2 linked regions of the Macaca fascicularis genome follow. The protein of the gene in region 2 interacts with the protein of the main gene of each other region in a pairwise test. Links are inferred from orthologs where the notes say so. Each region holds a gene or a part of one and is shown on either strand. Other genes may lie near its edges.

Region 1 (5,997 bases), on a different chromosome or scaffold from region 2:
TTACATACTCAGCCAATGTCCCAGAAGGAAGTTATGAGACACTAGATACACCATAAATAATTCTCATAGGAAAAATAAAATCAAAATGTTGACCAAATTATAAATGGAACTTTGGAAAGGTGGAAATCAAACCGTAATATACTCAGCATTGAAAAAATTCTGCCTCTATTTCAAATAAATTGCACTCTTCACCTAGTGCCCCTACAGAAATCCCTTTAGGGGACTGATTATATACCCTAAATAATATTGTGTGAAAAAAAATTCATACATTATAATCAATGTGTGAAGATAATCAATGTCCCCTAAACATACTGATTATCTTCACACATAGTGTGTGGGAAAAACATTTTTAATGTTCTAAAAATTCCCAGTAGGGAAAATGTGGTATTTCTAATCAAGACTGCCATGTGAACAAAACCTCAAGATCACTTTGCAGAAACTATATAACCACTTTATTTATTGTTTGTTTGGTTTGGTTTCATTTTTCAGAGCACTAACAATCACTATTTTCCTCTTTTAACAATGGTTTCATTTGCTAATTTAGTAAACAGAAAATAACATCTTCTTAGAGCTTTCCTTTTAAAATTTGTTGTCCTAAAACAAATGAATGAGGATGAATGAGAATATCTGATTGCAAGCCACTAAAAAACCATTATTTAAAGGGTGATTAAACAAATAAAGGAGGCTGGAGGGAAGTGGTTCTAGTTCCTCTTACTTTCTGGCCTGCCTAGAGAAAAAAAAAATCACATAAATCAAGATTATTCTTGCTGCTAGTCCTTGTCAAAATATTTGGATGTGAGAGAAGATTAAATGGACAAGATTTGGGATTGTCCTTTGATTTCAATTATCCAGGCTAAACCTGTTCTTCCATTGTTGTAGAAAAGAAAAAAATCAAAGGTTGCCTGTAATGCATATGGCAGCTCAAAATTTGCTTTCAATAACGAAATTCTGTAAGTCCTTTTCTGTTCATATAACCAGAAGAATAATCAACATTTTATAAAAAGCATAGGTCTTCAAGACTGACTCCACAGAAAATATAACTAAAAATCAAACTAGATAGCCACTTTTTCAATGGTATCTTTACACAACACATGTGAGTTAACAATAATAAGCTTTTTTTTTTTTTTTTTTTACATTTCTATGGAATGTTTTTTATAGGGGAAGGAAGGGAGAGGGAACAAATGTTGAAAGTATAGCATAGAACTGCCATAATCAGAAAAATAAAGAAAAACAATAAATAAGAATACACTTGAGTACCTTCCCTTTTAAGCAGGTGAAATTTCAAACAATACATATGACATATAATGATTTAGATAATAGGCATATGGAACACAAACAGATACATCTAAACAACATTATTTTTAACAGTCATTATCTTTTGATTTTATATTCTTCTTTCTGAAAACAAAGGACTTTAAACCCCTGAAAAGTTTAGTTCCTTATCTTCTCTACCTTGGAATTCTAGCATAGTACCATACATTCTAAGAGCACTCAACTGTTAACTACAACAACATTACCAATATCTCCTTAGTTTCAAAGAAATATGCTAAATAAGCCAGCAATATCTCTAATATTCAAACCAATATAAATGCTTCTATAATGTTAGTTACTCTAAATCTACTCATATACTCTTACCCAATAAACTTGAATTATGAAAAGAATCATGTATAATGCCAACAATATTTTTAGATGAAATACGTGAAATAACTGCTGACAGCATCTATTCTTGAAGCCTTCTCTACCTCAAAAAAGATTTTAATTACAGTCAAACATAAGATGTTAACAATTTTCCAAATAAGTTTTTTAAAAACCCAAAAAACACTGATTTGTTAAATTTCTTTAAATATAAATACACCCCAACTCACTTCCATACTTCTTGAAAATATCCTCTGAAAATAAAGTGTAATTTAAGTTTCTAATTCCAAAAGTTTTAATTGTAATATTTGTTTTTAATACTTCATGTGTTTTAATATGTGATTTGCTTTAATAATATAAAATAGTGAAAATGTCAATAAAATGACTTTAATTTCAGACGTTATGCTAGTATATTACCTGACTAAAGAGAGAGGGCAGAAATATATCGGAAATTAGCATTGGCAGATAATTTAAAGATGTAATTTTGAGTTTTTAAATTACACAAATAAGGGCCACATGAAATACTTGTGATCTATGGGAATAAGAGAATAAAGGTTCTCATGACCTACATATCATATTATCTGTGATGTATGATTATGGATCCAAATAACAAACTGCACTATGGGAGTTGCCAAGCTTTAAAACGTGCACCTAGAGGTCTATATGTTAGTTCTTAAATTCAAAAATACAGACATAGAATATCCTGAAAATTGTTTCATCTATTTTTGGAATAATGATAAACACTTTTCTGCACTGGTTATTACAATAATATTCTAAATAAACAATTCCAGCACTGTAACAACAAAAAATGTTAAGTGTAGTAAAACAAAATCAGTAGTCACGCAGATGTAATAAAGCTGCCTGAAGTCAGTCTTTAGACTTCTTTAACTATTTCCCTTAGTGGTACCCTTTAATGACAACAAGCATTTCTTAGAGTGAAAGGCTATCCCACCACAAATGCATTCAACATACTGTACCGTAATCATACAAACATAAGTCTACATTCATACACTTAGTTTTCATTTCCCTACCACATTAATAATGCCAAGCACCAAAATTGAATAACAGCATATTAGGAGATTTGGACTCACATTGCTATAGGAGTAACCTACTATTTCAAATGTCACATTTTAGATGATGTTGCTTTTTAAGAGTTATAATAAGCAATCTGTAATCTATTCATGAACAATACTGAAAGATAAATATTTTATAGAATCTAAAACTAAAAATCGAAATTCAGTTTCCAGAATTCTGACGTACACAAGACAAAATAAATGATGGTTGAAATTCCAGAACATTAAGATAGGCAAGATTTGTGCTACCTTAAAAAGATATATTTTCTAACTTGTACAGAAATATAAATTTTTATTGGTTCTTAGTGAACATACACACCTCCATATCCAGAAAATTAATGAACTAGTAGTGGATTCATAATGCTACTGAAGAACCACGTTTTTAGCTCCTAAAACAAGTTCCTATAAATGGTAATGTAAAACTGAAAAAGGGAAGATAAGGGTGCAAACATGAAGTACTTTCATCGTGTCACACAGGAAGTAGAACTTTAACATATCCTTCCTTTTTTGCTTTAATATATTACTGAGGCTGGGGACAAGTGGCCATTTGAGAACCAGACCTTCTTCAAAAGTTGTAAACGTGAGTGAGCTGAATGTTTAAGAAAAACAGGAGTTTTAGAAATGACAAACTCTTTCACCCCATAACCCCTAACACCTGTGGCTCTGACATCTCTTTGCATCTCTACATCCTCTACCTCCATTGGCCAGACCACCCAAGAACTACTTCTTTGACTTCTGCTCCCTTCTGCCTGCTCACGCAGCATTCATTATCATTCTCTCCCTCTACCACTCTTCCTTCCCCGCCCTCCTCTGTCACACACACACACACACACACACACACACACACACACACACAGTCTTCACAATGCACATAGAAACGTCCTGATCTCACTTGTGTAGACCACCAAAAAGGGCTTCGCCACCATCCCCGCACCAGATTTCAACACACACGCCCACTCCCTTTCTGAGACGAAACAACCCTTCTTCTCTCCTCCCTGTGCCAACCCCACTGGCTAGAAGACGTAGGGAGCGTGCGGATGGAGGATAAGGGCTCTGAGTGCTTCTGTCCCCACCGGCTTACCGTTCCCTCGCCCCCGCCCCAACAGCATTACCGCCGCCTTCCCGCTCTTTACCTGCCAACAGGTTCCTAATTTCCTCAGGGAGGGGGTATGGAGAGGAGGTGCTGCTGGGGTTGGGCATGTTAGGGAGCGCAGGGCGTGCGGGGAAAGAACCTGCGCTGAAAAGGTGACCGACGGGTTGGGGCTGCGGCTGCGACCTAGACTCAGGCTAGCGGCCCGGATAAAAACAGCGGGGCTACAAGTCGGGACACTGGCGGGCCAGGGCTCACAACAAGGAAGTCACTGAATCTCCAGCAAGCAGCAGCTGGACTGTCGGCCCAGCCCCGCCCAGAGGGTCGGGGCGGGGAGATGGGTAGGAAGAGACACGAAGGGCCTGAGGGGTCCAACTGCGCATGTGTATTCCTCGGTTTTCCCGGCCCCAGAAGAAAGAGCCTCTGGGCAAGCCACGCCCACCGCTACGCCGGGAAGCAGGAGGAGGAGCCGCTGGTGGGAAGTGGGCGGACTGAGGCTGCGTCACCTGATCCAGCGTCCGAAGCGCCTTACAGCCATTTTTGGTACTGGTGCCACCACACCTGCTGATCGTTTCTCCAGGATTCCAGAAAATAATGTATCCGTGATACACAGTGTATAGAAGTTTTCCAATTACGCCTTCTGCGTAACAGTTAGTCCCACCGCAGTTTAACCCACAAGGAATTTTCTATTGTCCAAAACTATTATGGCCTTCTTTGTCCGATTGAACGGAGGTAACGAAGTCTCATCTTCCGCCAGTCGTCCCGGAGAAGCCAGTCTGGAGCCGCCCCGCAGCGCGCGTTGTGATTGGCTCTTACATTACTTTTCTACCTAATTCATATCCTTGGGGTGACAGATTTTCCCCACTATAAGGAAGAATGGGAAGTTCTAAGCACTGTCCTTTGGCAGGAAAAAACAAAACAAAACAAAAAATCAGAAGGCCTAATAGACATAGGCACCACTGTCCATCTACAAGCATCAAAAATAAAATTGCTGGTGGTGATTAGTAGAATAAAATTATAAAATCTGCTCACTCCAACTTGACCATTTAGTCAACAAATACTTATTGTCTGCTATGTGTAAAGCTTCTTAAAAGTTTTCTCTTAAAAAAAAAATGGCTTCTTTAAAACCTTTAACAGGCATACATCTTTGTGCTTCCCAGATACTACATTTTTTAACAAATTGAAGGTTTGTGGCAAGCCTGCATCAACCAAATCTGTGGGCGCCATTTTTCCAAAAGCATGTGCTCACTTCATGTCTGTGTCACATTTTGGTGATTCTCACAATATTTCAAACTTTTTCATTATTATTATTATATATGTTATAGTGATCTTTGAAGTTACTATTATAATTACTTTGGGGCAGCACAAACAGCACCCATATAAGACAGCGACTGTAATCCATAAATGTGTGCATTCTGACTGCTCTACCAACCATACCTTCCCCCCATATCTCTCCCTCTCTTGGGCCTCCCCATTACTTGAGACACAACAATACTGACATTAAGCCAATGAATAACCCTACAATGGCCTCTGAGTGTTCCAGTAAAAGAATCACATGTCTCTCACTTTAAATCAAAAGCAAGAAATGTTTAAGCTTAGTGAGGAAGGCATATTGAAAGCCGAGACAGACCAAAAGCTAGGGCTCTTGCACCAAACAGCCAGGTAGTGAATGCAAAGGAAAAGTCCTTGAAGGAAACTAAAAATGCTACTCCAGTGAACATGCGAATGATAAGAAAGTGAAGGAGACTTATTGCTGGTAAAGAACGTTTTCATGTTCTGGATGGAAGATGAAACCAGACATAACATTCCCTTAAGCCAAAGCCTAATCAAGTGCAAGGCCCTAACTCTCTTCAAGTCTACAAACGCTGAGAGGTAAGGAAGCTGCAGAAGAAAAGTTGGAAGTTAGCAGAGGTTGGTTCATGATGTTTAAGGAAAGAAGCCATCTCCAGAACATAAAAGTGTAAGGTGAAGCAGCAAATGCTGGTGAAGAAGCTGCAGCAAGTTATCAAAAAGATCTAGCTAAGGCCAGGCATGGTGGCTCATGCCTGTAATCCCAGCACTTTGGGAGGATGAGGCGGACGGATCACGAGGTCAGGAGATAGAGACCATCCTGGCTAACACAGTGAAACCCTGTCTCTACTAAAAAAAATGCAAAAAAAAAATTTAGCTGGGCATGGTGGCCAGCCATGGCTGGCGCTT
Region 2 (6,309 bases):
AATCCCAGCTACTCAAAAGGCTGAGGCAGGAGAATCCCTTGAACCTGGCAGAGGTTGCAGTGAGCCGAGATGGCGCCATTGCACTCCAGCCTGGGCGACAGAGACTCCGTCTCAAAAATAAATAAATAAATAAATAAAATTTTATCAGTTTAGCAAGTCTATTAATGCTAAAAACAACACCATAAAGTTTTGATTAATCAGAAAACCTATTTCTTTTCTTTTCTTTTTTTTTTTTTTTAGTGTTGGAGGCCCTCCCTAAATGTAAAGGTTATTTCAACAAAGAAAACCATCCTTTTTCTAGGACCCCACATGGCATCAGTGATCTTAGAATCACAGGATCTTAGAGCTGTAGAGATCTCATCTAACCCCTTCAGTTTTACAGACAGGCCCTGAAAATGACAGATGCCAGGAGGTGGCTCAGGGTCCTGAAGCTGAACGATCACAGAGCCAGACGCGGACAGGCAGCCTGCGTCCACCCACTGCCCTTCCTACCACACTAGGTTGTTCCTCCGTTAGCTCCTTCCTTCCAGAAGTGGGGGGACATTTGGAAAAACATCTACTGACTCCAGGACAGAAAGATTCTTCTTGTGATTGTCTATTTCTCCTACAAGCAGGACACAGTAAATTCCAGTTAGAAAAAATGCCTGATAAATTCAAATGGTAAGGTATGCCTACGTTTGCTTTAATGACCCTCTGAAATAGCTGGTCAAGAGCCTACCCTTTCTAGAGGGAAAAGAACTCTCCAGATGTTCTGAATGTTTCTGTCATTTGCAAATCATCGCACAAAGGCTAAATTCACCAGGTGACTCCATACCATCTGGTGTGGGACAGATGTACCACAGAACTACGAGTACCTTCCATGATTTAAACAAATAAACAAAAAAAATTCAAATGTAAAATGCTCTCTTTTTAATTACTAAATTAAGAAAGTTAAACAATTTAAAAATGTAAACTCACAAATGAATCATAACAAAAAAGGAATTAAGAGCTGCTAGTCAGTATTAAAAACTCAATAGAAATAGGATTTTTGATTTGTTGGTGTTAAACATATGTAATTTAAGGTGGTACAAACAGCAACTAAAAATGTAATACTCTTTTGTTTTTGTGCATCCCCATGAAATGTAAAGTAGTGCATAGTTATTCCACTGGAGAACTCCTGGACATATAGAAAGTCATTCATTAGCAGTACAGGACATTTAAAACACTTATTTTACAATGGGAAATGTGCAACCCCCACCCTCATTTCCCCCAGAAATTTTAGTTGCATGAGAAAGTTTAGCAGGCTGCCATGACTACAATGCTATGGGTTTTAGATCATTTAAATGTGGTTACAGGTTTATTAAATTAAAAATGTCTGAAACATTTCAGCACTCATATTTTTATACAAGAAGTTTGTGTGGTATCCATCTTCCAGTTCTCTCGGTAGCCATTTGCTTGCTTATTTTTAAGTTTTGAGAACAAACGGCAGTAAGTTGAAGCAAATACTGCTAACAGAACTTGTAAATTCAGCCTGGGGGGGGCGGTTCCTGAAAAGAGTCAAAGTAACAGCCATCTACAGGTACAGTCATGAACCAGGAAAGTGCAATCCAAATGAAAAAATTCATGCTTTGCAAAAGCCAAAAATGAGGCCACTGGTGTTTTCAGAATAACACCAGTGCTTTGATGCTGACTTACAGTAAAATCCTCCCTCTGGGTCCCATAGCTTGGTGGCCCAGGCTGGCCACAGTCTCCACATTAGCACCCACATTGTATATGTACAGGGACATATATATTATATATATATTCATATTTATAAAAAAGAAAACAAAAACAAACACCTGTCCTGATTGGTTTTTGTTAAAACATGAAAAAAAATTTTATTGTTTTAGACAAAGAGGCCACTTTTGGAAAATAATACTTTTTTTTTTTTAGTTGAATCAGGTGAAGACAGAGTTAAAATCACATAGGATTTGCATTTTTAAAAAAGGAAAGCACTAGGATTGTTGGCACTGGAGTAACTATTTACACTGAACAGAGGTTTGGCCTTTTACATAACATCGATACAATGCATTTTCCAAAGTCTGAGAAATAACAAGGTTCTGTCTCGAATGCTTCACAGAGGAGGTTCGGATTTGGGGACAAGTGTCATTAATGAGGGCCATGGAAGTTCGTCAGCTTCAGAGTCACATGCAATCTGATCCTGGGCGGTTCTGCTGCTGGGGAGCAGCCGGCTACGGAATTGAAAGCTAATGGGGAGGGGTGGGGCAGCCTCTAGGACAAGGCCTCTCTCCGCAGACCCGGGCCTTACAGGTTTTCACCAGGTTGGTACTGGGGCTCTGTGGCGGTAAAGTAGTCTTCCAGGAAGCTCTGCAAGTACTCAAAAGTAGGGCGTTCTTCAGGGTCCTTTTTCCAGCAGTGGATCATGAGCTCGTGCAGAGAGATGGGGCAGTCCTGCGGGCAGGGCATCCTGTAGCCTCGCTCCACCTGCTCCAGCACCTCCCGGTTGTTCATGCCTGCAAAGACAAGGGCAGTGAGAGTGGGCACCCCGGGGCTCCAGGCCCTGACCGCCACACTTGCAGATCCCCTTTCTTCTTCTTTGCATCTGCAGGTGGCTAAAACATGTGAAGTGCCCCCATTCCCCCCAGGAGTCAAACCTTGCCATGCTACTCAGAAATAAAGGAGTGCAGAACCGAGACATGCAAAAATCCAGAATGACTCTCCAAAGCAATATAAGTGAAGCAAGCCAGACACAAAAGGCAACATACTGTATGATTTCATTTATGCGAAATTCTAGAAAAGGCACAACTACATCTACAGAAAGCAGATCAGTGGCTGCCTGGGGAGGGGAGGAATCCCTGCAAAGGGGCCAGAAGGATCTCCAAGTGGGATGGGAATGTTCAGTGTCAGGGTCAATGGGTCAACAAGCTTTTCCTGTAAAAGGCCAGACAGTAAATATTTTTGGCTTTGTGGGTCACATATGATCCCTGTCTTCTTCTTTTTAACAACCCTTTAAAAATGTACAAAACACACACAGGTTGGGGGCCAGATCTGCCAACCCCTGTTCTATATTATGTATGGGGTGGTGTGACTGTTTATGTTTGTCAAAACTCAATAAACTGCATTCTTAAAATTGTTGAATTTTATTGTGTGTAAATTATACTTCAATTAAACTGACAAAAATATATGAATAAAGCAGACAAAAAAATCCACACAGAATGAAAGCATGCTGCCCCTTGTTTATAGCATTTATAAACTCCATTTATGAACTTCATAAATTTGTTTTCCTCATGCTTGGGCAAACTCCTAGTTCCTCACTGTGGGAAATCTGCCATCATGCCAGCGTGGCTGGGCACTGTCTGGCCCTGTGACCCCACTGCCCTGAGGTTTGGTGAATCTGATGGGGAGACAGACCATGTCCGGGGCCTATCTCTACTGATGACCTCAGCCAGGCCATCCATCATCTGAGGTCTTCCTGACTCTGGGGAAGCTGCTGAAACACTGGGCTGCATAGCACTAACAGAAGACAGATCATTAACTCCTTAGAGAGTGCGGACTCCTGCACACTGGCCGCCTTAACACTACAGGAACTACCATGCTTAGGGGGTGGCCAATGTCCTGACCTCTTCCCAACTACTGCCGACCACTGTTCTCTAGTTTTGCTTCCCTTTTTCATTAGATCACCTTCTGGCAGCTCCCTGTCAAGCTGTGCTATCCTTTGGTTGCTTCCTGGCTGGTGAGGCTGTCATCTGGAATCCTCCCCAATTTCTGACCTGGTTAATTTGCAGGAGCAAGAACTCGACGTCAAGCCATATAGAAACCAAGATTTCTTCCCCTCTTTCCCAGGGCTACAGCCAGCAGGAGCACACACCATACGCATGGAGCTCGCTCCCTTTACTTCCAGGGGAGGTGGTGACCTGCTAGCTGGAAACCTGTCAGCACAGCCAGAGGCGCTGGCCCAGAGCACAGCCTGTCCCCCTGGGCAGGGAACACTCAGACTTTGGGGTCTGTTGCCAGTCCTCGTGGTTGTGTTGTTACTTGCAGAGCTGAGTGCATCCTGGCTCCTCCTGGCTGTCAACCACAGCCCGTCCGTCGCACGTCCCTCCAGACCTTTTCAGGATGCTTTCTTACTCTCTGCCATGATCATTTCTTGAGATAATAAAAATTCATATATTATTTCTGCTGTACTGAAGTAGGCCTTCAATGCAATTGTCGTAAAATAACCTCACTCACGTGTCAGGGCGACCCCTTATTTCAGAGAGAGAGGTTTGGTGAGGGAGTCAGGGTCCCTGCCTCTGTGCCATGCATGCCTTTCCAGTGACTTCCTCAGTTGCTTGGGCAGAGGGAGAGGCAGCACTGTGGCTAATTAGCCTACATCCTCCTCCAATGGCTGAAAACGGGGGATGGGGGCGGGGGAGCTGGAAGCAAGGGAGGAACTGGAGCTGCTCGGGAATGAAAGGCAGGCTTCTCTTTGGGCTCTAGACAAATGCGGTCAGAGGCCAGCATTTCCTTCTCCACAATTCCGCAATCCAACAAGCTCTGAACACCATCAAGTTTTTGTAACTCACTTGACTGCAGAACTGATCTGAACTGACCTCATTTGGCCACAAAACCTGAAATGGTTACGACACTATTTACTGTTTCTATTTCTTCATACGTATTGCCCAGAAAGATTAGGAAGGAAGAGTGTGTAATCACATAGCAGAATTGGCATTCTCCAAAGCATTTGCCTTGCCGCATCTTTCAGTACAGTCCTTGGTTTCATATTTCAGCAACGACAGAGCTTGGACCTGCAGAAATCTCCTGTGTCTCTGTCCCTTCCAGGAGCCCACAGGAACTGGAGGGGAGACAGGCAGAAGGGCCTGACAGATCCTTCTGGGGGTGGTACAGCCCCTGAAATGCCTCCTAATGCTTGACGCTGGCTCTGAGTGCCGCCACCCAAAATGGCAGCACAGAATTTAATCATTTTCCTATTCTCCACAGAGTGCATGTCAGTACGTGCTTCATTTCATTAAAAAACTACTAGCCGGGCGCGGTGGCTCAAGCCTGTAATCCCAGCACTTTGGGAGGCCGAGGCGGGTGGATCACGAGGTCAGGAGATCGAGACTATCCTGGCTAACATGGTGAAACCCCGTCTCTACTAAATATACAAAAAACTAGCCGGGCGTGGTGGCGGGCGCCTGTAGTCTCAGCTACTTGGGAGGCTGAGGCGGGAGAATGGCGTGAACCCGGGAGGCGGAGCTTGCAGTGAGCCAAGATCACGCCACTGCACTCCAGCCTGGGAGACACAGCGAGACTCTGTCTCAAAAAAAAAAAAAAAAAAAAAAAAAAAAAAACACTACTCAAACGGAAAGATTTCACTTAAAAATAAAGTTTTCATCCAATGTCTGCCAGTGGAAAGTTTAATTGGCCACTGGGTCATTTTTCCAGTGCTCAGTCCAAGCCTTGGACACAGCAGACTTGGTGATGTGAACCTCAACATGTAGTGTCTTCCGAGGCAGTCTGCTTCCTGGGCATTTGGAGGCCAGGGGATAGGGTATAAGCTGGACTATGCAGGGCCCTGGCAGACCCACAGGGTCAGGCTCCTTCTCGCTCTCCCCCTTTTCCTGTCTGAACCCCTCTGCTCTTCCCCACTCCTCTTCTCATGTTTTCTTCTGCGCAGACCTCTCAAAGCATGGGAAGCGTATGAAAACAATTCCACGCACTGGGCCAAGTGGAAATATACCAATGATAGCTTTGCCAGGAAAGTGGGATATTTCCACAATGCACTTGGCTGACAATGACAACTGGAATGGGACTAGCTCTTTTCCAACCATCCATAAACCAGGACTGGCACGGGCTGACCTACAGACCTGGCCTCTTCACAATGTACCTCTGCAACAATAACTGCAATCAAGATACGCCCACTCAGCAAGGCTTAGGCTAGTTTTTATTTTATAAACAATAGCTAAAAAAAAAAAAAAAAAAAAAAAAAGTTAAATTGAATGGATTGTGTTAATTCAGGGTGAGTGTCCCTTCTCTGAAATGCTTATGATCAGGAGTGTTTTAAATTTCAGATTTTTTAGGATTTTGAAATATTTGCATCATAGGGCTGCTCAACCTAAAGCGGAGCATTCCCTTTGAGCGCTGTCAGTGCTCAAGAGGCTCTAGATTTTGGTGCATTCTGGATTTCATATTTTTGGATTAGGGATACTCAACCTGTATTTAAAATATAGTGTTCTCAGCTATATGAATTTTGAAAATCATGTTTTTTTAAAAATAATTTTTTAAAATGGCTTTTACTCTGCACACTACCAAAAAGATGGGTCTATTTCATTTTTTTTCTTCTTAGAT

What was found.
Region 1: the proteins of FYN (region 2) and SKAP2 interact in a two-hybrid assay, tested with the Homo sapiens proteins (2 studies listed by BioGRID and IntAct, with this or other methods). The link is inferred for Macaca fascicularis from reciprocal best matches to the Homo sapiens genes FYN and SKAP2.

Annotation. Positions count from the first base shown.
Region 1 is NC_088377.1:103,398,517-103,404,513, reverse strand, and holds the start of SKAP2 (src kinase-associated phosphoprotein 2), read right to left. Parts: upstream 4,069-5,997; 5' UTR 3,909-4,068; coding exon 3,842-3,908; intron 1-3,841. UniProt on the Homo sapiens protein: May be involved in B-cell and macrophage adhesion processes. In B-cells, may act by coupling the B-cell receptor (BCR) to integrin activation. May play a role in src signaling pathway.
Region 2 is NC_088378.1:15,713,209-15,719,517, forward strand, and holds the end of FYN (tyrosine-protein kinase Fyn), read right to left. Parts: intron 2,493-6,309; coding exon 2,284-2,492; 3' UTR 1,831-2,283; downstream 1-1,830. UniProt on the Homo sapiens protein: Non-receptor tyrosine-protein kinase that plays a role in many biological processes including regulation of cell growth and survival, cell adhesion, integrin-mediated signaling, cytoskeletal remodeling, cell motility, immune response and axon guidance.